Linked DNA regions of Rhinolophus ferrumequinum. The protein of the gene in region 1 interacts with the protein of each later gene in a biochemical or structural test. Links are inferred from orthologs where the notes say so. Each region holds a gene or a part of one and is shown in the gene's direction. Other genes may lie near its edges.

Evidence for each region.
Region 2: the proteins of ARHGDIA (region 1) and RDX form a complex in vitro, tested with the Homo sapiens proteins (2 studies listed by BioGRID and IntAct). The link is inferred for Rhinolophus ferrumequinum from reciprocal best matches to the Homo sapiens genes ARHGDIA and RDX.

What each region holds. Positions count from the first base shown.
Region 1 is NC_046304.1:54,656,370-54,667,901, reverse strand, and holds ARHGDIA (rho GDP-dissociation inhibitor 1), read left to right. Parts: upstream 1-7,168; 5' UTR 7,169-7,290; intron 7,291-8,722; 5' UTR 8,723-8,749; coding exon 8,750-8,939; intron 8,940-9,082; coding exon 9,083-9,166; intron 9,167-9,398; coding exon 9,399-9,475; intron 9,476-9,561; coding exon 9,562-9,625; intron 9,626-9,734; coding exon 9,735-9,934; 3' UTR 9,935-11,107; downstream 11,108-11,532. UniProt on the Homo sapiens protein: Controls Rho proteins homeostasis. Regulates the GDP/GTP exchange reaction of the Rho proteins by inhibiting the dissociation of GDP from them, and the subsequent binding of GTP to them.
Region 2 is NC_046294.1:78,764,721-78,776,721, reverse strand, and holds the start of RDX (radixin), read left to right. Parts: upstream 1-6,362; 5' UTR 6,363-6,511; intron 6,512-7,815; exon of another isoform or gene 7,816-7,869; intron 7,870-12,001. UniProt on the Homo sapiens protein: Probably plays a crucial role in the binding of the barbed end of actin filaments to the plasma membrane.

The sequences.
Region 1 (11,532 bases):
CTCGAACAAGCCAGGACCCCACTGTGGCTGGGCAGAGGGGCAGATGATGAAGGAGCCCTGTGGGCGCATCAGCCAGAGGTGCAGCCTGGCCTGGGGAAGGGCTGCTAGGGCCCGGCGTCTGGGGACACGTGGGGGATGTTCACAGATAGCGGGGAAAAGGCAGACGATGGAGTGGGCGCTCGGTATTGTTTCAGTGGTGTATGGAATGTGAAGTGCTTGTTTAACAAAACTAGTTTTTAAGTTGAAAAACTAGCACATTCAATCAACACAAAAGGCCGACGACACTCGGGATTACTGTTGCAGCACTGGTCAGAGAAAACCCTTGTTACCACAGGTGTTTACAAATGAGCACGTTATTGAGATGGGACTTACTATGAAGTTTACCCATTTAGTGTACAATTCAGTGATTTTACTATATTTACTGTCACATCCACCACCACATTGACGTTCCAGAATCTCTTCATCACCCCAAGAAGAAACCCACTGGCAGCTCCTCCCCATGTCCTCCCTCTCCTGGCACTCACCAGGCTGCCTTCTGTGTCTGAATTTGCCTATCCTGGACATTTCATGTACATGTAATAGGACGATACATGACCTTTTGTGTCTGGCTTCTTGAGCATAACGTTTTTGAAGCTCATCCATTTTCTAGCACAAATCAGTCCTTTTTTTTGCCAAATATTCTGTGACAAACACGTCACATTTTGTGGATCCACCCATCAGTTCATGGACACTTGGGCCCCCGCTTTGGGCTGTTAGAACAGTGCTGCCAGGAGCAGCACTTAACACATTTTTGTGTGAGCGTGTTTTCAGTTCTCTGAAAGCAGAGCGGAATGGCTGGGTCCCAGGGCACCTCGAAGTTCGGGTTTTGAGGGATCGTCACTCTGTTTCGCCAACAGCTTCCCCATCATACATGCCCACTGGCCGTAGCCGGTCATAAGGATCCGATGTTTCCACGTCCTCGCTGCTTGTCTGTATTGACGAAAAATCACATCTCACCTCCTTTCAGATTGCCTTGGATTACTTAAATTTTATAGAAGTACTCTCAATAATTTTAAATCTTCCTGAAATTGATACAGCTATCATCTTCCTTTATTTCTATTAAGGTCAGCCTATTTATTTAACTAGATGTCAAGTGTCATTTTGTCATTTTGATACTCAGATTTATAGAAGAGACCAGTACACATAATTCCTGCACGTTCCTCAGCCGACCCCCCAGGTGTTAACATCCCACCAGATCTTTTTTATTGTTTTTTTCTGAATGGATTGAGAGTAATCACAGCATGATGCCACTTACCCCTAAACCCCTCCACGGGTATTTCTGTAAAAGCAAGGACAACGTCTTACCTAATCAGACACGGACACTGACGCAATCCCACTGTCCTGCCTTATGCAGGGTTAGCCAACTGTCCTTGTCACCTGTGCTATGAGTACTTGTCTAGCCCACCTGAAAAAGGAGAGCCTGGTCCCGCTCATGGACCCGTCCTAGACGGGCAGAGCTTTAGTCTCTGCGTGTCATGACCTTGGCGCTTCTGAAGGTCAATTCCATTGGGAATTACGTCACTATGATTAGACCAGAGTTAGGTATTCTTGGCAAGTATACAGCAGTTGGCATGTTTCCGTCTCCGTCCGTCCCACAGGGTCCTCGATGGCTGTCGGTCTGTCTCGCAACTGGCCACGTGACTTGGCTCACTTCAGGTTTCTCTACTGTAAAGTGGCTGTTCTCCCCTTCGTAACCCATAATATCTTGGGGGAGAAACTTGGAGACAAGTGAGTATCTGTTTTGCCCGTGAGTTTTAGCGTCCTGTGGTAGTAATTATTGTGGATTCCGTGGTGAGTGTTCACACTTCCCTCAATCCTTCAACAGTAATTAGAATTATCTTCTAGGAACGAGCCATCCCTTGCGCACCGCTTATCCAGCCAGTTATGTCAGTGTGGACTCGTGGCTATTTGACTCTGAATCAGAATCGGGTAACTGATTTTGTTGCTCAGACTATTTTAGGTTTGGCCGTTGGGAACTTTGAGGGTCCCTCCTGTGCCCTTTTGACATGCCGGTCCTTTTGAAAGCATTTCCTGACTCTCTGGTGCCAGGAGAGGCTCCAAGCTCACCTATTCCCCAGCTCCTTTCATGGGCACTGGTGTGCTGGGTGTGCTCACTGTCACCGGGCCCCTGGGGACAGAGCTAGGAAATGCACACACTAGCTCCTGTGCACCCATCTGCGTTCATTTCTGTACCTCTCAGGCTGAAGAGACGCATGAAAAAACCGTGAGTTCACTGCGGTCTCACTCCAAGCCCGCAACCCAGTCATTCTCTCCTCCCCTTATTTGTAACTTTTCTCTCTGGCAGTGTTCTCACTGCTCCCATCACCTACACGATGTTTGCCTACACGTCGGCTATCGTTTAGGTGTCCACCTCACCTAGTCTCAGAACCACTGACCCATCCCCCGCGGGAGACCTCTCCGACCAGGGCACAGCATTGGGTTCAGTTATTTCTGTGTCGGGCCATGGAGTCCCGGGGTCGTGCTGGTGCCCAAAATGTGAGTCCCTTTCTCTCTTCCACCCGCTTCACTGTTAGTTGTGTCATTTGTACCATACTGAGTTCATCCTTACCGGTTATATTTCATGGTGGCTTCCCCAACATACCCTGCTGGGGTTTTTTGTTGTTATTTTTTATTGTTTTTTAATTTGCATATATTAGTTATTATGGAATTACATATGGTTGTGTAATTTTCATAAATGTTTATATGATTTACATTAATTAACTGTTATTATTAATGAGTCACCCTGGGATTAACTGACTATTTGGGTGAAATTAGCAATAAAAAATGCATCATTAAAGATTTTAATGTAAAAATAAAACCAGGAGGTAATCTCATTAATTTTCAATATATCAATGTGTCTGTGGTCACCTACCCTAGACAGTTAGTTTGTATGTTACGTATGCAGGTTGTAGAAACAAATTATAAAATGTTTTAGCACATTCATTAATTGTAAAATAACATCTATATGTAAAAATTAATTTGAGCATCCCACTTTCTTAGATGTACAATCCATCATAAACAAGCCACTCAAGTCACCAGCAGTTATTTCAGAGACAACCTTTCTTTGTCCTCGTTGAGGGGTTGAGGGTGGGGACTCCTTGGGCACGAAATGATTCATTCTGAAAATTGGCAAATGAAAGGAACAAACATATAATCTGTTTTGTTTTCTATACAAACTGTATTTCGAAGGGATTAAATCATTGATGGGGAGAGCTTTTTAAAAAAGAATTCCAGCTAAGCAGTGCTGGCATATTAGGAAATGAGCACTTTGCGATGCCTGATGAAATACGCCTGCTGAGAATAATGCTGAGGGTGGCACAGCAGGCCAACCTGCCATCCGGAGCTCATGGCACCTCTGAAAATTGACCTGGGGCTTGTCCAGCCTGAGACGTAGGACAGCACACCGGGAGGGCGGAGGCAGGCCAGTAATCCGGAAGTGCCAGTAAGGGAAGTCTCAACCACAGGTGTCCCAGTTTCCTCCGCACCTGAGGGCACAAGCACAGAAAACTGACTGTGGCACAATCAAGGTAGATTGGGCCTTTGTCCCCATTCCTAGCCCAGAGTTCCAGCCCTCGGAATGTCCTGACAGGAGTGGCTTTTGTTATTTGTAACCAGTCCCTTTCAACCACAAGCAGTTTATGGTAATGAGATGATGACTCTGGGTGGTGTCAAGATGGATGCTGGTCACCAGAAAGACTAGGCATCATTAGAGGGTTGGCACTCTCAACCTGGTCCCCTGACCTCTCAGAGGGGACAGAGCTGTAGGTTGAGTTAATCACCAACGACGATTTCATCAGTCTTGCCTCTTAATGAAGCCTCCATGAAAGCCCCTAAACAGTGGGGTTTGAAGAGGTTCCAGGTGGTGAACAGGGGTAAGTGCTGGGAGGGTGGAGCTCCCCGGAGTCCCCCCCCCACGCACCCCTACCCTGCGCATTTCTTGCTGGTCCTGAGTTGCGTCCTTTATAATAAACCGGCGATCACAGGTGAAGAGCTTTTCTGAGTTCTGTGAATTGTTCTAGCGCATTTTTTAACTTAAGGGGGTGATCGTGGGGACCCTCAAATTTGTTTATCCAAAAAAAAGAATCCTTTTCCTTAGGAATAAACACACACTGAAATCCACATGGTGGAAACCACGTGTGAGATTTGCTTCAAGCTGTGTGTGGGGAGGAAGAGGGACAGGTCAAACGGGACTGGCTGCCAGGGAAAGCCACTGAAGCCACGTGGAAGGTCCATCAGGGTTCATGACACCACGCTTTCTACTTTGGTGTGCGGTGGGCCACCTCCTGGCACTCACACCTTGCAGTCCCATACTTCGCTGGGCCAGGACAGATCTGCGTGCCAGTATAGTAGGGCAGAGTGATGGCATGACACTTCTGAGATGACATCGTAAGAAACGCAGCGGCTTCATCTGACTGCTTGCTGCCCCCTTCTCTGTTCTGTCTGCCTCTGCCTGTCCATCTGTCTGTCTCTGAGGCCTCACTTGGAGGAAGCCACCTGCCCTGTGTGATCAGCTCTACGGAGGGGCCGGGACGGGAGCTATAGGTCGCAGGGAACTAAATCCTCAGGCCATCAGCCCACGGGTGTGGAACTGAGGGCCCAAGCACGTGCGTGAACTTGGAATTCCAGCAGGTCTTGGAGACCGTGGCCCTCCTGCACAACAGCTTCATCACAGCCTCCTGAGAGACCTGGAGCCAGAACCATGAACCGCACTGCTACGCTGCTTCCCGATCCTCAGAAACCATGGGAAATAATAAGGGTTGGGTGTTTTGAGCTGCTAAATTCCAGGCTATATTTTACACAGCAAGAGATTACTAATACACATATGTTTAAATTTTCTATAACAGAGTTTGGGTTTTCTTTTCAAGGTACATGGGTCATCTGAAAGCAGATTTGTCCTCGAGCCATGACTCAGGTGGCTGTGCAGCGGGACGGTCCCCAGTAAGTTGCCTCAGAAGCAACACACTGAACACCAATTAGGATGCTCTGCCTTTGGCCAAACTTTCTGCCTATAAAGTTGATAGTGCAACTTTCAGTTACAGAAAAATTGCAAATACACCTCAAAAAGGGAGAGAGATCTTTCCAAAACATACTGAGCTCAGTATTACGCATTGTTCTATCACCCCAAATGCCCTCCTGCAAACGGTGCAGAGGTGTGTGTGCGATGACTTCTGTCAGCCTGGGTTCCCTGCCAGGCAGTGTAGACCAGACAGAAGGGCCCTACCGTCCTGGAGTTGAACCATCATTGAAGGAGGCATGAGTCCATTGTCACGTGATTACAATTTTACAAGTGCCGGGGGGTGAAGGTGGGGTGGCACACCCCCCAGGTGGGGCATTTAGGGGTTTGGACCCCACACGGAGGAGTGCCGGGCGAGGCTTTGGGTACTGCAGGCTCTGCGAAACAGCCCACATTTTATGGGGCCCCTGGTGCTACAGAATGTTGTTTGGTGTGTGGACCAAGGTCTGAAATCCATACAACTAGAGCACACAAATGGAGACACTGGGGTCTGTGGTAAAGAGCCGACTGAAGTAACTGTGTCATCTGTGCCAGCAGCTTCCGAAGTCATGAGAGGCGAGGAGTTCCTCAGTGACCAGCTCCCCTGAAGTATTGCTCACAAGGTAGCCAAGTGTGCTGGGCCCAAAAATACTCCTTCAGTCTGGAGGGGAACATACAGGCACAGGACAGTGGCCAGACCCCTCTCCAGGAGGGCAGTGCTGGGCCCAAGCGTGCCCTGGACACTGAACCTTGTTCATCGCAGGGGATGGCAGGGCAGAGGGTCACGTGCACAGCCTTGGACAGGCTGCGAAGTGAGGAGTGAGTGAAGAAAAGATGACTCAAAATGGAGTTCCTATAGTCAAGCCAACAAAACTGGTTCAGTGCAAATGGGCTGAGCGTGAGGAATGGGTTTTATTTCACCAGCCTGAGTGAGCACTTCAACTGTGGAACTTCCCAGTTGTGCGTGGATGCCTGGAAATACGTATATATCCTACAGCCAGCCTCTGAAGGGCTTGGAAAAGTGTTCCCAGGTCCGAACCACCGACATCTGGAAGATTGTAATCTCAGGCCAATCCAGCACCACTAGAATGCTTGACGGATTTTTTTTTTTTTTTTTTAAAGATTTTATTGGGGAAGGGGAACGGCCTTTATTATTGGGGAACAGTGTGCACTTTTTTTCCCCAAGTCAAGTTGTTATCCTTTCAGTCTTAGTTGTGGAGGGCGCAGCTCAGCTCCAGGTCCAGTTGCTAGTTGCAGGGGGCGCAGCCCACCATCCCTTGGGGGACTCGAGGAGTTGAACTGGCAACCCTGTGGTTGAGAGCCCACTGGCCCATGTGGGAATCAAACCGGCAGCCTTCGGAGTTTGGAGCACGGAGCTCCAACCGCCTGAGCCACTGGGCCCGCCCTGGACCGATTCTTACAGCCTGCTTTTTCCTATGAGAACTCTTAGCTTTTCTTCTTCTGAACCCTCTGGGTATTGCCTGGGTTTCCGCTTTGCAAACCCTTGGCCAGGTGAAATCAATTTTTACCTTTTATTTCTAGCCAAAGCCTCCCAACTGTCTGTGCTGGGTGCACAAGACACCAGGAGATGCCCACCCCCGGGACTTGGACAGGACGGGAACCCACAGAGCGTCCTGTGAGTGGTTGGTGTGAACTCGACGGAACATCCAGTGTTCACTTCCAGGAGGGTGAGGCAATGGCGAGGACCGACGGGCTGGCTCACTTGGGAGAGCGGCCGGAGCGGACCCCGGGTGTAGCGACCACCGGGCTGTGAGACCAGGCCAGCGCTGGCTGCCAGAGCAGGGCCCGCTGGGCCCGGACGTGGGCTGCGCGCCTGCAGAGGGACAGTCCCGCGCGTTACAGATGGCGGCAGAAACGCACGACGTCCAGGTGGGGTCCACGCAAGACGGTGACACTGCCCCGTCCCCGTCTGAGTTCGCGGGCTGAGCCGTGGGGACGCCCGAGCTGAAAAATGCCCGCAGCAAGGGGCGCAGAAGCACCAACCAGACCAGCCTTCGCGGGCAAACCGGCCTCGCGAGCCGCCTACGCGGGACGCGCCCACGAGATTGGCCCCGCAAGATGGCGGCCGCGCGCTCCCGGCAGACCCCTCGCCCGCGCATGCGCCCTCCGTCGGCCCGCCCGGCCTGAGCGGAAATCGCGTGACCCCGGAAGTGGCCGGCAGGGCGCGCGCGGGCGGGGCGCCGACGTTCGTCATTTTGTGCGGGAGGGAGCGCGAGCGCGGCGCGGTCGAGCCTCCGGTGAGCGCCAGGGGCGGCGGCGGAGGCGGCGAAAGCGGCGGAGCTGGGAGGGGGCGGGGGCCGAGTCTTTGTCCGCCCCTCCCGCCGGGGGGATCTGCGTGGGGCGGGGGCGGGGGCAACAGTGACAGCGGGCGGCGGCCGGGGCGCAGGGCGGGTCCCCGGGCGCACGGGCGTCCACGTGCGGGCGGGGGGCGCAGGCCTCTTTGTGGCCGCCGTTCGTGCGCGGCGCCCCCTCGCCGGTGCGCGCCGGGTGCACCAGGCCTGACGCCCCTCCCCTGGGGAAGGCGCGCCCTGCCCCCGGCCGTCTCCGAGCTTCCCACCCGACCCCACCCCACCCCACCCCACCCCACCCCACCCCTCGGCCAGCCCTGATTGCGGGTCCTGCGGCCGTGCGGGCGCCGGCAGTGCGCTTGGAGGATCCTGTCGCCTGCGTCCGCACTTGCTGGCGTTAGGGCGTGAGCTTTCTAGAGGAATTCCAGAGGAAGCGCCTGGGAGGCCTGGAGGGACTGGCGGCCCCACCCCGCCTGGGGCGGCCGGCCCGCTCAGAGCGGCCCTTTGTGGGATCTGGTACTCGGGCAGACCCCGGCTGCCAGGCGTTGTTTCTCATCCCGTGGCAACTTGAGGTCCGGGGTCAGCTGGCCCTGACCCACCTCCCACACAACGAGAGGGGTCTGCGGGGGTTTCAGACACACCGTCCGGGATGCTAGGGGGTGCTGTAAGGATCCTTAGCCTCCTGTACTGTTCTGCGCCTGCTCCAACAGTGTTGCTCCAGGCTCTTCTAGCCGTTGCTTCACGAAGAGGGTCTTGAGAATACCCAGGAGCTGCAGCAGCTCCCAACTCTAGGTCACAAACCATCACAGCGGGAGAGAATGTGGGCAAACACTTAAAGTTCCCCATGCGCTTTTGGGACCTACCTGCGGGATTCAGGCTGGGCCAGTTATTTGAGCTCTAGGAGAGCCCTGTGTTTGCAGGGCGAGGCAGAACTGACCTGTGTTGTGGATAGAGGTCTTGCATTCTGGCCAGGACGGGGCCAACGGGTGTCCCTGGTCAGAGCAGCTCCCTGAACCAGCAGGAGGGGTACCTTGGGGTGAGGACCTGGGCACTTCAGAGCAGCAGAACTCTAGGTGACTAAGTCGGGTTCTGCCAGTCCAGGCTGGGGTTGGTGCCACCCCCTGGGGATGCCTAGTCCCTTGAGACGGGCAAGGCAAGTTAGTGAGGCCCCTCTTGGCCCCAGGAGCCTGTGTCTAGGCCCTTTGCAAAGGTCTGGCTGCAGCTGCCCTCCCGCTCCAGAAGTTGCATCACCCCTTGGCTGCAGCTACAGGGTCTGGCCACCTGCAAAGATGCCTTCAACACAGCCCCCTGCTGCCAGGGAGCGGGAGGGGGAGACACTGGGTCCCTGCAGGCTGCCACAGCCCCTTCCGCCCCCCTGCAGGTGTTCCGGACCCAGCTAGAGGTGAGCATGGCAGAGCAGGAGCCCACAGCTGAGCAGCTGGCGCAGATTGCGGCCGAGAACGAGGAGGACGAGCACTCAGTGAACTACAAGCCCCCGGCTCAGAAGAGCATCCAGGAGATCCAGGAGCTGGACAAAGACGACGAGAGCCTGCGCAAGTACAAGGAGGCCCTGCTGGGCCGCGTGGCCGTCTCAGCTGGTGAGTGGCTGGACGGCACTGAGACTGAGGGGACACCTGTGACTCTTCTGAGTTCCCCGTGCGGCTCCCTACCCCAGGCAGGAAGTTGTGTGCTTGAGGTGGGACGCCAAGGGGTGGAGCTCTAACCTGCTGTCACTCCACAGACCCCAATGTCCCCAACGTTGTTGTGACCCGCCTGACCCTGGTGTGTAGCACTGCCCCAGGCCCCCTGGAGCTGGACCTGACAGGTGAGTGGCGCCTCTGAGGTCCCTGGCTGAGGCTGTGTTGGACACCTTGTTGCTTCCTCTAAAAATGGTTTCCTGGAGACCGTGCGCCCTCTCGTGGGGAGCACAGGAAGGGCCGCCCAGTGGTCAAGGCTCTGGCTGTGGGGGGGGGCAGGGGGGATGCAGTCCCAGTGGAGTTGCCCAGGTGCGGCTTCCCCTGGCTGAGCCTCCTAGCGCAGTGTTCTCCTGAACACAGGCGACCTGGAGAGCTTCAAGAAGCAGTCATTTGTGCTGAAGGAGGGAGTGGAATACCGGATAAAGATCTCTTTCCGGGTAAGGTGGGGGCCCTGGGAGGGAGGCGCTGGGGGGGCCGGGGCTGGAGAGCCCAGCTGAGTTCCGCGTGGGGTCCTTCCCGGCAGGTGAACCGGGAGATCGTGTCCGGCATGAAGTACATCCAGCACACATACCGGAAAGGCGTCAAGAGTGAGTGAGGGTGGGCGCCAGGCCCTGGCCCCCAGGAGGGAGGTGGCCCCGGGGCCAGGATCGGGAGGGAGGAGGAAAGGCTCCCTGACGCCGCCTCCCTGCCCTGCAGTTGACAAGACCGACTACATGGTGGGGAGCTACGGGCCCCGGGCGGAGGAGTACGAGTTCCTGACCCCCATGGAGGAGGCGCCCAAGGGCATGCTGGCACGGGGCAGCTACAACATCAAGTCCCGCTTCACAGACGACGACAAAACTGACCACCTGTCCTGGGAGTGGAACCTCACCATCAAAAAGGAGTGGAAGGACTGAGCCCGGCCTGGGAGGCGGGCAGGGCGATGGACGGAGGGATGTATGCGCCCCACCCCACCCCACCCCACCCGACCCCATACCAAAGTGCTGACAGGGCCCCTGCCCACGCTGCCATCTCCCCTGGTTTGCCTCCTGGCCCGCCCGGCCCTCCCCAGCCCACAGGCCCCAGCCTCCCGGTGATCTAGTGTTGTTGCTGCTTCATCCTGTGCTGTGGGGGAGGGAAGCTGCAGCCCAGGCCTCCGCCTCCCCCTTGGTTCCTCCAGGTTCCCCCTGCTCTAAGCCAACTTGAGTCCCTGGCTTTTCCAAGGGAGTGGGGCATTGAATGGGGTCTCGGGGTGCTCAGGTCCCCCAGGGCCTTTTCGGTTGCCCTGACTCTGCTCATCTCCCCCTATGGGGTGGGGGTGGGGTGCACGATGCAGGGCCTAGGGGCAGGTCATCTCCAGCCGTCACCCTCCCTGGTCAGTTCCTCTGTCGCTGTCACTGTCTAACCATGATGCCTTAACATGCGGAACGTGTGTTCTGGGGCCGTCACTAACCTCTGACCCTGTGTCCGCATGAGCATGTGGTCTCCCCAGCCCCCGCCCCACCCGCAGTCCCTGGGGCCCAGGGCAGTGGGACGCTGCTGCTGCTGCTGCTGCTGCTGCTGCTGCTTCCCGGCCTGCCAGGGCCTGGCCAGCCCCTCCCCCCCAAGCCAGGGCTGTGGGGACAGCTCCAGGGGCTTGGAGAAAGCCAAATTGCCAAAACTCCAGTCCTATCTGCGAGGCTGGGAGTCCTCACGCCTCGCCTTGTCTGTCATCTGTCCCAGCGGGCAACACCCAGACCCAGCGCCCAAGGCCCCCCCAGAGCCCTCGGCAGACAAAGCCAGCGGCCGAGCCTTACTTGGCCCACCTGGGCCTGCCAGCCTGGAGTGGCACGCCTGGCCTGTCAGTATTTATTGCCTCCACATGTGCCGTCCTCTGGGCCTGCCACCTCTGCCCCCAGGCTCGGTGCCACCATCCCCGGCAGGCCCTCCCCAGACCCAGCCAGGACAACTGTGGGACCAAGTGTGCACAGCCGGAGCCGACCCCTGTGCCTCCCCTCCTTCCCCCTCCCTGGTCAGGCCCTGGGCTGGACCGCACAGGAACCTGTCCCTGCTTCTCCTTTTCTGACCAGGAAATAAACTTCCCTGAAGGAGCCTGGGTGTCTGCTGCTTGTCTCAGTGGGGGAGGAAGGCTGGGCCCATTCCTCTGCTGCCCCTAGGTGCCAGGTGTGATGCCCATGGTCCTGCAACTGTTGAACAGATTTAAAACCCTGGCCCAGCCTGTGTGGCCAGTGTTGGCCTGTGCAGACCTCGGACGTCCCAAAGGACCCTCGGTTGGTGTCCAGCTCTCTGCAGTGCGCCCCCTGGCGTCTGCCTGCTCTGTCCCCACGTGGCCACTGTCCAGCCTCGAGGAAATGCCCCAACTCCAAAGAAGGAACCTTGAGCTCTGCCAAAGGCGTTACATGGGAAACCAAAAAAAGGACAGAGACGTCCCGTAGACAATGTCCCCAGGCTGTGGGTCCACTGGGTGTGTGGGTGAGCCTGAGGCGGGGTACCGGCGTGCAGGGGAAGGCTAGGC
Region 2 (12,001 bases), on another chromosome or scaffold:
AACAGACCAGAATGGCTTGAGCTTGAAGAAAAGTACAAACCAATGACCAGCAATAGGAAGGCAACAAATGGGTCTTGGGATTGTGGGGAGGAGATGAAAAGGAGATGAGAGATCATTGTATTTCAACAAATGAACTCTGGATTCAGTGATGAGAACTGATTTTAGGGGTCAGAAACTCACATGAGATGGCTGGCTAGGAGGCTATTGCTTGGAGTCTAGAAGAGATAACTGCTCTGACCTGCCTGGCTGTGAATGGTATGATATAAAAAAGTGGAGAGAAGCAAGAGGAGGTAAAAGTAATAGGATTAAGTAATAGGCTGGATAGGAAGAAGGTGAAGGAAAGCGAAGTGTTAAGAATGGCTCCTACGTTTCTAGCTGAGATAGGAACAATGGAAGCATACCAAATTGGAGCAAGACAGACTGCAGATCTTAATTCTGTTTCAGGAAAATAAGAGGCAACATTTTCTTTGAAGTCTTGTCCAGTTCTAAAATCGCATGTTTGCATATATAATTCAATCATTTTTGAAAATAAGGAGTAGCTTAATTAGAATAGAAATTCTCTATAGATTAATGCATTAGTTATCAATTGTTACATAAAAAGTTACCCCAAACCTTTGTGACTTAAAACAACAAATATTTATTATCTTACAGTTTCTGTGGATAAGGGATTCAGGAGCAGCTTAACTGGGTGGTTCTGGCTCAGGGTCTCTCAGGTGATGGCATTCAGGATGCTGGCAGGGCTACAGTCACCTGAAGGCTTGACTGCAGCTGGAAGGTTCATCTGCTTCCACAGTGGCTCACTCACATGGCGGTTAGCTGAAGGCCTCAGGTCCTCACTAGCTTCCGGCAATAGGCCTCCATTACTCACTATATGGGCCTCTCCATAGGCTGCTTGAGTGTCCTCATGACATGGCATCTGGCTTGCCCCAAAGCATGTGATCCCAGAGAGAATCAACAAGGAGAAAGGGGCTGTGCCTTTTATGATCTGGTCTCAGAAGTCACATAACATCAGTTCAACTTTATTCTATTTGTTAGAAACATGTTACTCTGTCCAGCCCACACTCCCGGGAGGGGAATTCCATCTCTTATAGGAAGGAGTATCAAATAAATTGTGGATATAGTTTAAAATTGCCACAGTAAAGTTTACATCCTCTACATTTGACATTTCATGAAGTGCTGGGCACCATTCCTCTATAGTAAATAACACTGTTGTATAGACTCAACTAAATTAAAATAAAACTAACGTGTTATAAATTAGAAAACAGCTGCCTAGGATGCTCAGCACTAAAGTCCAGGGTGAGTATTTATCATTTATATATACACGAGTATTTATATCTTTGTATTATTGAGTCATAAATGAGTGGATATTTGGGTTAAAAATTATGAAATATCATGGTAAGTGATTATCTATACATACATGCTTTCTGCATGTTATAAAATACATACTGAATTCTAGAAATTGCACATTGTTATGTATATGAATAAAATATTTTATATGTGAATTGGAGTCAGAGTTGAAGTATTTTAGAGCTTGAAGAAAGTTTACCGATCGTCTGTCTAATCCAGTTCTCTTAATAGATGAGAAAACTGAATCCATTAAAAAAAAAAAAGATTTTTCTAGAGCTCTCAGACAGTTAGTGGCAGAAAGCCACTGTTGATGGGATGGCCGTTTCACAATACTCTTGGAGAGGGGATTTAATGCTCTTTGAGGTCCTCTTCTAGTCCTGAAAATCTATGATGTCTGAAAACAATCTCTGGAAAAGGCAGAATAGGTGTAATGTACTGCCTCTTTTAACATTGTTTGCAAGTAAGTTACACACTAGTTCATTGGATCTTTCAAGGTCACTTAAGCAACTTGTTTGTAGAAATTGGGAATAAAGCCAGTTATAGATTCCCTCATTTAGACTCTTTCCACTCTGTTTATTACCTCTGAAATTTTACCTCTGAAATTTTATTGCTGTTTATCACAAACTAAATTGGTTTTATTATATAAACAAGAGAGGATTGGGTAATAACTTTTACCTTGTCTTTGTTGGAGAATAAAATGCTCATATCTGTGAACACATTACGAATTGTGTACTTATGTAATTTGATCTTATATAGGGAGAGAATAAAGGTAGAAATTGATCCGCGGTTCCTTGACTTTTAGTTTAGGTACATTAGCCATCAAACCTCTATTGACTGTACTGAAATTTTATAGCTTATATCAGCAATTACATTTGTATGGCTTACTAGGCATACAAAGCAAATGATAAGATAGTTTTACTTGTTTATTTTTACTAAGGGCTTTTATATTGGAGAACAAATTGTGAATATGTACTTAAATATGCAAGATAGTGTGAATAGTATGATATATCATTGTTTATAATAGAAATTTCTCTTTTGCATTTCTTTCAATGTAAAAGTTTTAAAAATAGTTGTGATTTTTCATTCTTAAAGCTTTTAAAAATAGTAAATCAAAATTTTTAAAGGAAAAATATTTTAGTATATTATGAGGCTTCAGATTAATATCTAACACAATAGTAAAATCCTTGGCTTAAACAAAACTATATTTTCCAAAGAAATAGTTGGAAATGAAAGGCCTATTTTATCATGTTATCTCTGTATATTCATTTATTTAACAATTATTTATTGGATGTCTCACTTGCCATAGTTCTTACAGTCTATATATTTCCAGTTACTGAATACACATTTGTTCCTAGATTGCCCGTAGACATTTAAAAGTTAGTATCTTCCTAACCTGCCTAATTCTCTTGGTCTCTCAGTTCTATTTCTTTTATACTCATTTATCTCGATGGTACTCGTTGGAAACCCTAAAATCATTTTCACATCTTTTGTCTTACTCCTCAAAGCTTTTTAAAGATTCTATGTATTTCCTTTTCTTCATCCATATAAACTCCCAAATTCAGTCCCTCACTCTAGTGCCTGGGCTTTATAGCAAAAGTCTATCCAAGGAATCCTGATGATCTCACCATCCACTTTCACTGTCACTGAACCTCTGTCCCAAGCAATCCACATGGTTACCAGTTACTAACATAAATCATATTATTCCTCTTCTTAACACTTCTTCTGGATTCCTATTTCTCCTCATGGAGGGAGGGCAAATTCTGAACTTCCCAAACAGATCTCAATTTACCTTTCTGAAACCTCTGGTTTTAAACACCTGTCTAAACGTCAACCCCATGTTGCTACTTGGTCTTCAAAGCTGATTGCCTTTTCCCTGGCTGCTCCCACCCCTTACCCCCCACCCCCATCTCTTTACTCTCCCCTCCTCTGTGGCCTTTTCTTTTCTAGGCAGAGTTAATTGCCTTCTTTTCTGTCTGCATCGACACCATGTCTATCTGTATTACAGCTCATATTGCACAGCATTGTTTGCTTTTCTCATTACTGAATTTAGAGGGCAGGGACCAAGTATTATTCAAACTAGCAAAGGGTTGGAATTCAATGTTTTTCCTAGATGGGAAAACTTCCATTTATAAACCATAATTGCAAAAATGAATTTTCATTTTCAAGAAAATCTTTTACATGTACTAGTGAGACAAATGCTTTGTAACAATCACTGGAATTCTAGAATTCAGAATTAGCCATCCTATTATGGTGGAGTAGAGTAAGATTGTAGCATAGAAGACTTCGTAACAGACTATAATAGATTGGTTTTGGACTTTCTTTTTAATGTATATTATGTGCTATATATAAATTTTTTTTTGTAACTACTGATATCATCAGTTTTTTTTCTGAAAAACAGTAGTTTCAGCAAATGTATGCGATTTTTTTTTTCCCCAGTAGAAATCTAAAATGTTGGAATTAAACCAAGACAGAAAATTTTCAATTAAGTGTCTAATTTTATTTAAAGGTACATATATTTGATGTAAGGAACAAGATCAAATAATGGTGTGTTTAGATTACATTTACAATCAATAGTAAATCTGCCCCTCTAACTATAAAATTCTGTCAACTCAGTTCATGATATTCTTCACAGAAGAGCCTCACGCTTAGGAAACAGTGGCTTTGCTTGGTTTTGTAATTGACAACCCATATTGTAGTAAAACTCAACTTAAATAAATAGTTTTATTTTATTTTTTTACACCACAAAATATAGAAAATACTGAAGAACAGAATAAAGGAAAAAATGCCCACAGAAACACTATTCAGAGACAAATCTGGGTTCCAATCTTTTCTTTTTCCTAGCACCTCATAGGTGTTTTTTTTTTTAAAAAAAAAAAAAAAACATAGATGTAATCATACTGCACTGGATAGTTTCATAATTTATTTTTCCACTTAATACTATAAGAAAACACTTGCCATGATACATTTACAATTGTTACCTAAAATGCTACAGGATAGACATAAAGACATTGAGTTTCCATATTTTTATTTTTGCATCCTATAAATAATACTGTGATGTAGAGTTTATGAAGAAAGCTTTTGCTGTTTCAGATTATTTCATTCAGAAAGAATCCCAGATAAAGGATAACGGGTTCCAAGAGTAAGAACATTTTTATTGGTTGAATCACAGGTTTTTTAAAACAGGTTGTTTCAGTTTACACTCCCACTCAAAATGCCTGCAAGTACTCTTTTATCTCATCGTCCTCGAATATTATTTTTTACTTAAATATTTATTAATATGATAGCCAACTAAAATGTTACAATTTTTGTTCTGTTTGCTGTTGCACAGTATGGAATAAAAATCAAGGCTCTGGAGTCAAATACAACTGGATTTGGTTGTAGCGCTGCCACTTCCCAGCTGTGTTACACTGAGCAAATTACTTAACTCCTTTGAGGTTCTCTTCACTCATTGTTGTGTTTTGTGTTTTTTTAGGTCATAATAATATTTGCACCAAGCACAGGTTTGTTGTAATTATTAAAAGAGATAGTCGTGTAAAAGGACGACAAACAACAGTGAATCCTTCATTTCCCCTTGCAAAAGTATGTTATTAACATATATTTTTGTTTAATTAGTGTACTAGCTAGGAATTTACAAAATACTTTGACTGTCTTTATACACGCAACTTGATGTGGAAGGCTGTACAATTACCTGGATAATTCTTCCACCCCAGGGAGGTCAGGGAGTAATCTTTTAGTTAAAAAAAAAAAAAAGCACACACCTAGTTTCCATCCTTGGGGAACTTGCAATCTAAAGGCTTTTGAATTTCACTTTTGGGGCTTTTAATTGCTCATAGAGGTCTCAAAAGGCAATGATGGAAGTTCACTGAAGAGCAAGCCTAGTGAAAGTGACCTGGGGAGAATTCCCGAAAATGCTACGGTCTCGAGGAAGGCAAATGCCAAGGAAGGAAGGATAGAAATTATTGTTCCTTAAAAGTTAAGTACACTCGCGAGGTTTTATTTGAACCAAAGTTTGTTTATAAAAGGTAAACTATATTGAGCATTGCAAACAGGGCAAGCTCGGCTAATCTAATTTTATGCACTTGCTGTTTGCATACTCATACCAAGTTTTGCTCTGTAAATCCCAGCAGAAAATACCGAGGAGAGGGAGCATGGTATAGATGACACAATACTGGCCAGAAGTCTATCTAGTCCCAGCACTAAAGTGAGTAGGCTAGAGTTAGACTATAATCAAATGTCTAACTTTCTCTAAATTTAGAATATTTAGGATTGGTTGCAACTTTTTCTTTTTAATCGACTCCTTCTAACTGACCAAGAATGTCGGTGATAATTAAAAAATGATCAAATATCTTTGCCTGAATAAAAATCTGCACTCTCGATTGGGGCCATATCCATCCAGGTTTTGCAGAAGTCTAAAAAAAATTGCCCCTGAAAAAGCAAGTTTTTCTAGTTGGGTAAAACCTGCCAAAATAATTTAAACGTTCTTCGTTGCAAATATGAATTCCTCTGAGATAAACCCCCTTCTCTCTCCTGATGCAAGATTTTCAAGCTGAACAGCCAAGTAACACGGTCGCTTTGGTTCTGGATTCCCTCTGGGAAGAATTCCTCCTTGGGGGCGATGTGTTTTCTGGCACCAGCGGGAGTTTCAAGTTTCCACTCGCCGGGGAGGCGGCGGGCGCACTCCGGACTTGGGGTTGGGCGGCTGCGCTTCCCCTAGCCCGCTTCATCAAGCCCAGTTCTCCCTGGAAGGACTCCCCCTTCCACGCACTCGCCTCAGTTCCTTCGGGGCTCCGGCGCCCGCAGCCCATTCCTCGCGCTGCGGGGACCCGGACGGCGACCCCCAGCGACGCCCCACGCGGCCGGCGACGGAGAGCCCGAGGGGCGGGGCGGGGCGCGAGCGGCTGTGGCGGCGGCAGCGTTGGCTCTCCGGCGGCCGCGCGAGGCCGGCTGGCCGGCAGGGGAGGCGGGGGGCGCAGGGCAGCCCCGCCTCTCCCCCGAGGAGCCGCCGGGCGGCCATATTGCGGAGCTGTCTGCGGTGGCGGCGGCGCCTCTCCTCTCTAGCGGCCCCGCGCTCCCACTGTCGCCTCTCCCTCGCAGCCGCGCCGCCCGGCGGCGCCGCACAGCGCCCCAGCCACACTCCGGGCGGGAGGACCCGCTAGCCGTTGGGGTAAGCCGCCGGCGCTCTCCCTTCCCCCATTCCCTCTCCCGGCTCTATCGGAGACGCTGAGGTGGCCGCGAGAAGTTGCGGGGCCCCGCGCTGCCCGGCGGCCGCGCTGCTAGGGCCTCCACGCGCTGGTGTTCGCGCCCCGCAGGCCGCGGCGCCGCCACCCTCACGGCCCTCACGGCCCGGCCGCTCCCCCGGGCCGGCGGGAGCCTCCAGGCCCAAACCGAGTCGTGACCCGGCTGAGGCCCGAATATGCCGCGGAGCGATTCTCCTCCCGGCGGGCGTGGGGTCCTCCTGAGGTGTCGGCCCGGGACCCCCCCACCCATCTCCCCGCCCCGGGGGACTGTCGCGTTCCCGCCGCCTGGGCGCGGCCGCGGGTTCGGCCTTGCGCGTTGCTTCAGGGTAGTTTGAAAATACAGATATTAAGCGTAGGTAGAATTATAATTTGCATTGTAGATTAGGAATTTATTAGAACTTGCTCAGCCTCCAGTTTGAAAGTAAGGGTGTTGAATTACTAGAGAGCGAGCGTTCTGCCCTAGTGGCACAGGGATGTTGCATTACGGGGTTTGGGGCGCGGAGCTACTCCTGGCACCCGCGAGCCGAGCTCGGGCCGCGGTTCCTGGCCGCCCGGCTCTACCTGCTGCTGCTGCTGCTGCTGCTGGCGCTGGCGGCGGCGGCGGCTTTGGAGCCTAACTTTTCGGGCCCTTGAGGCTATCCGATTTAGTATCTTAGACCCCACTAGAAAAGTTGGGTACATTACGTCCCCCTTTCCTTTGAAGGGCCCTAAACTTAATTCCCGGACTAACTCTGAAGGGGGCGTGTGGCGGGGGCGCACAACACTAATTCAGTTTAAAAAGAGCACATCACCTATACAGAATAGGTCATGGTTCTTTAACCATCACCAATATTTGTGGGGTTTTTTTATCTTGAGGTTGGAAATGTAAAGTCAGCTTCACCAAGATGTATTTAAAATACAGTTGAAATTTTGTGAAAGGCATTTTAATGAATCTTTGGCACTAAGAGTGGTATGTAAATGCAAAAGCCTAAGATAATAAGGATTTATTTGATAAACGGGTACTGGACGTAGACGTTACAATCTGTTTGTTTGCAGAGCGAATTTTTTTTAGAACACTAAATACTCTTATATTTCTGACGGAGGTCTGAATGAACAATTGCCCTGTTCATTTTGCTGGATAAATAATGGCTTAATCCAATTGCCAAAACAACATTAGTAGATTTGAGAAGAAAGACTAATATTCAGACTTGCATTTTTCTTTTATTTTTAGAATTCCATTGCTTTCACGAGTGTGCTTTATCTTCCTTCAGAGAGACTAATAATAACTTACCTTAAATATGACAAGGTAACACTTCTTTGAAGTTAATAGTATGCTGTAAAAAGGATTTCACTGACTTTGTTTCTTGGTTTAATCACTTTTATATAGGATGGAATTTAGTAAACAGTATATTACTAGTAAGGAATACATAGATGTAAATTGGAATTCTTTACAGTTTTATTTAAGTTAGACCAATTTGATTATGACATTTAGAAATTATTAAATTCTTGCCCTTGTGGATTATACACTGTTTTGTTTAACTCCTTTATTCCCACACATGAAAGAGCACTAGGAGGGCTCAGAAATATTTGTAGAATAAATGTAATTAATTTAGGTGTGGGGAAAGTATGTGCGTCTGCCCTTTGTTTTGGACCTTGTTATTACTTAATAGGAAATCACAAATTCACTGTTTTTCTTGTGGTAAGAAATGACAGACTGCTGTTCTTTCTCATTAACTTGCAGTAGTCTCAGGGAGGGGGAACAAGGATTGTTTATTGCTTCATCATTCGCAGAGCAGAATTGGATTTTATTATTCATTTTTATCTTCTGCAGGCTGTTCAAGTCTTTATGTTTCCATTTCAGTCTCAATCTTTTAATCTACTATGCATAGTCTAATAGAATCTGAAATGTTGGATGATAGTGGGAGTCTAGTTTTTTCATCCATTTTTAACTTACTGCATTTTTAACTTATGCCATTAAAAATGGCAATTTTAAACCAATATCTCCCAAAAACCAAAGCCTAAAAAAACACGTTCTATTAAGGTTTTAAAGCCTGAATTATGCTGGTGGAGCATACCTGATTGGGTATAGCTAATAGAATTTTACGCTTACTGCTGTGACTCTGGCAAGTCAAGGAAGTCACCCTTTGTTGGATGTCTTGGACCTCCTGTGGACCAGGAACTAGTGGGCACTTCTTACCTACCCTGATACTTGGGGTACTGGATCAGTGAACTGGATTGAGTTTGCTGTAGACTCCACCCTTCCTTACAAGGTTATTTTAAACCCCAGAGTGTTACTGTGGGCTAAAGGCTCTTGCGGAACTTCCCTGGCTTCTGTAGCCAGTATATTGCTCACCTCTTACTGTGGTACAAGTGGCCCTATTCTGACCCCTGAGAGCTCCTCAATTTCTAGCCTCTTTCAGAGAAATCCTGCCTTTCCTATTCATTTTAGTTCTTGGTATATTTTTCAATATTAATTTATATTGAACATGTATTTTAAACCATATTTAAAGACTAAAAAATAATACATTTTAGGAGAAAGTGAAAAAACCCGGAAAGATATAAAGGAAAAGGGTCAAAGTCCTCCTCACTTCCTGGAACCTCCCATCCTCTTTTCCCAGTCCTGTTTTTCATAGGTAATTACAATTAGCAATTCTTGTGTATAGGAAATGTCAATATTTATGAAAGGATAAACATATACTTTTTATCTTATTGTGATTTTAAAGTGTTTAAAATAAGGTCATTTTGTAGCAGACATTGAAAGGGTGTTTTATTATTGTGTTAATCACATTACTTGATGTTTCTCAGATTTTCATCATTTGAGTGAAATAACACAGTGGAATTTAATAATTCTCAAGTGTGTTTATGTACGTGTGCAAATTTTCTTTGCTCATGGTTGAAGGCGAGGTTCATTTTTTCTTCCTAGAATATGGTATATAAATCATAGTGAAAATGGTGTGCTTTGATAAAGGGTTTATGATTTGGGATAGTGAAATGTCCATATAGTATGTGTATCTTTGTAATGGGTAACTGTTTGGACAGGAAATATGGTCCATACAATTCACTTCTTTATTCATTCCATTGTGAACTCTCGTTTTAGCTTTCTGGAAGAGGGGGTTCATTCAGGTTAGATATATGGATTTTTTTTTTCTTTGAGTAGTCAATCCTTGCAAATTCACTAATTTTAAATACTTTTATTTCTTCGGTAGATATAAATTTATATATGAGTAAGTTTTATATTTTCTATTGTAATATACTTTACATTTTAATAGTAGAATTCTAAATAACATTTTATGGAAGTTATATATAAATAAAGGTAACAAGACTTTTTACATCAAGTGATGTAACCCTATGAATAGAATGCTCAAGAAATGCTTGTTACTTTTCTACATAATTTATATACATTTTAAATAAACTACTTATAAGTTCTAGTAAAGTTGATTTGTTTGAGAAAGATACTCTCTTTACTGTTAATCATTTAGAGAAGAGGTCCACAAAACTGATCTGCAAGGCCAAATCCAGCCTGTTTGCAAGTTTTTGTAAATAAAGGTTTATTGGAATGCAGGGATGCCCATTTGTTTACATATTGGCTTGCTTTTAAAAGAGCTATTGTGGCAGAGCCTGTACTTTTTGCAACACCTAAAGTACATACTATCTGGCCCTTTACAGAAAAAGTTTGCCAACCCTTGGTTTAGAGAAAAAAATATCCTGTTGAAAGAATGTTTTAGATACAGTATCAAAGAAGGAGGTATCGCATTGTTTTTTCTCCACCATCATAGAATTTATAAAGTTATGAGTTATCTGTATCAGTAACTGATACAGATATTTTTTTCTGAGTTGTAGGTAGTATCTATGGGCTTTCAGGACCTTAAATGTTTCTTTTATTCGTGAAAAGTTGAAATTAAGAGGACTGGCTGCAGGTGCAGTTGTGAAATGAGCAATCTTCAGTTTCAAGCCCTTATATCATTTAAGATGCTTTGGCTACAATAACAGAAAATTCTGAAACTGGCTTCAATAATGAGGAAATTTATTATCTTATATAATAAAGTGCAGAGGCTCAAGAATAACTCAATGATCACATCAAGGACTTATTCTGTTTCCAGTTCTCTGCCCTGTGGTCTTACCATTAGTTTCATAATAAGACTGCTTTCCCGTGGTCCCAGTTTTGGCTATAGCAGGACTAGCATCCCATCAGACATAATAATATCCAAAGGAATGAGAAGGATTGTCTCTTTTCCAGAATCCCCCCCTGCAGATATCGTAGTCTTGTTGGCCAAGATTGGAACACATTCCATACCTAGCCAGTCACTGGCAAGGATAATGGAATTGCCCTTTCTTCTAACTTCATTCCCATTAGATTATTTTCCTTATTCATATACCAGATGTCTTGGGTTCTTTCTTACCCACCCAAAATCAGACCTGACATTGATCTGTCATACATAGTATAGCAGGAAGATGTGAGTTCATATCTTAATGGGTACGAAATTTGTTTAAATTATGGAATGAACAGTGTTGATTTCCTGCTTAAGATACTTAGGGCAAGGGTTGACAAACTGACCCATGAGCCAAATCCAGCCTCCTGCTTGTTTTTGTAAATCATGTTTTATTTGAACACATCATAGCTTGTTTACATATTATCTATGACAACTTTCATGCTACAACAGCAGAGTAATTGCAACAGAGACCATAACACCCACAAAACCTCAAGTTTACTTATCTGGTCCTTTACAGGAAGTTTCGCAACCCCTGTTTTAAGGTTTCTTTCTACATTCAGACATAATCATATGCCAAATTCTTTTTGTATTTGATGTGTAAGATACTGAGGAGGTCACACTTAATGGGAATATAGTTGTACCATATTGTATAATACATCAGAGTGTGTTAAGTGTTCTTGTGTATATAAACTGGAGTTAATATTCAGTGCAACGGCATTGAACCTATCTTTGTTTTTCCGTTTTAAACATTTGTTAGTGAATTCTTTATTTCCATAAATGTAAAATGAAGAAATTGGACTGGATTTAGCTTTCTTACCTTTTAGCATTTAAAATCAATCACTGCAAATGGTAGTGTATTTGTTTTTCTACCCACCTTGGGAACAATACAGATACGGTTGTTTCTTTTAAATTTATAAAATTCTTTTAGAATAGAGTGTAAATTCAATGTAAAATTTTTTAAAAATATGAAGTTCCTGCTTTATATTTAAGTTCTAGCAATTGCTTTGTATTTTCACTGACATGTATATTTTTGCTCAAAATGTTGAATATTTTATTTCCTTGAAAATATCCTTCAACAAAAATCAATTCCTACATTAGCAAGTACTTCATATCTCATTTAGATGTGCATGTCACCCTTATAGGAAATCCATTTACAGAGGTGATTATACCAGTATTAATGTACATCTTTAGAGGTAGTATTTTGACTTGAAAACAACAGAGGAAAGA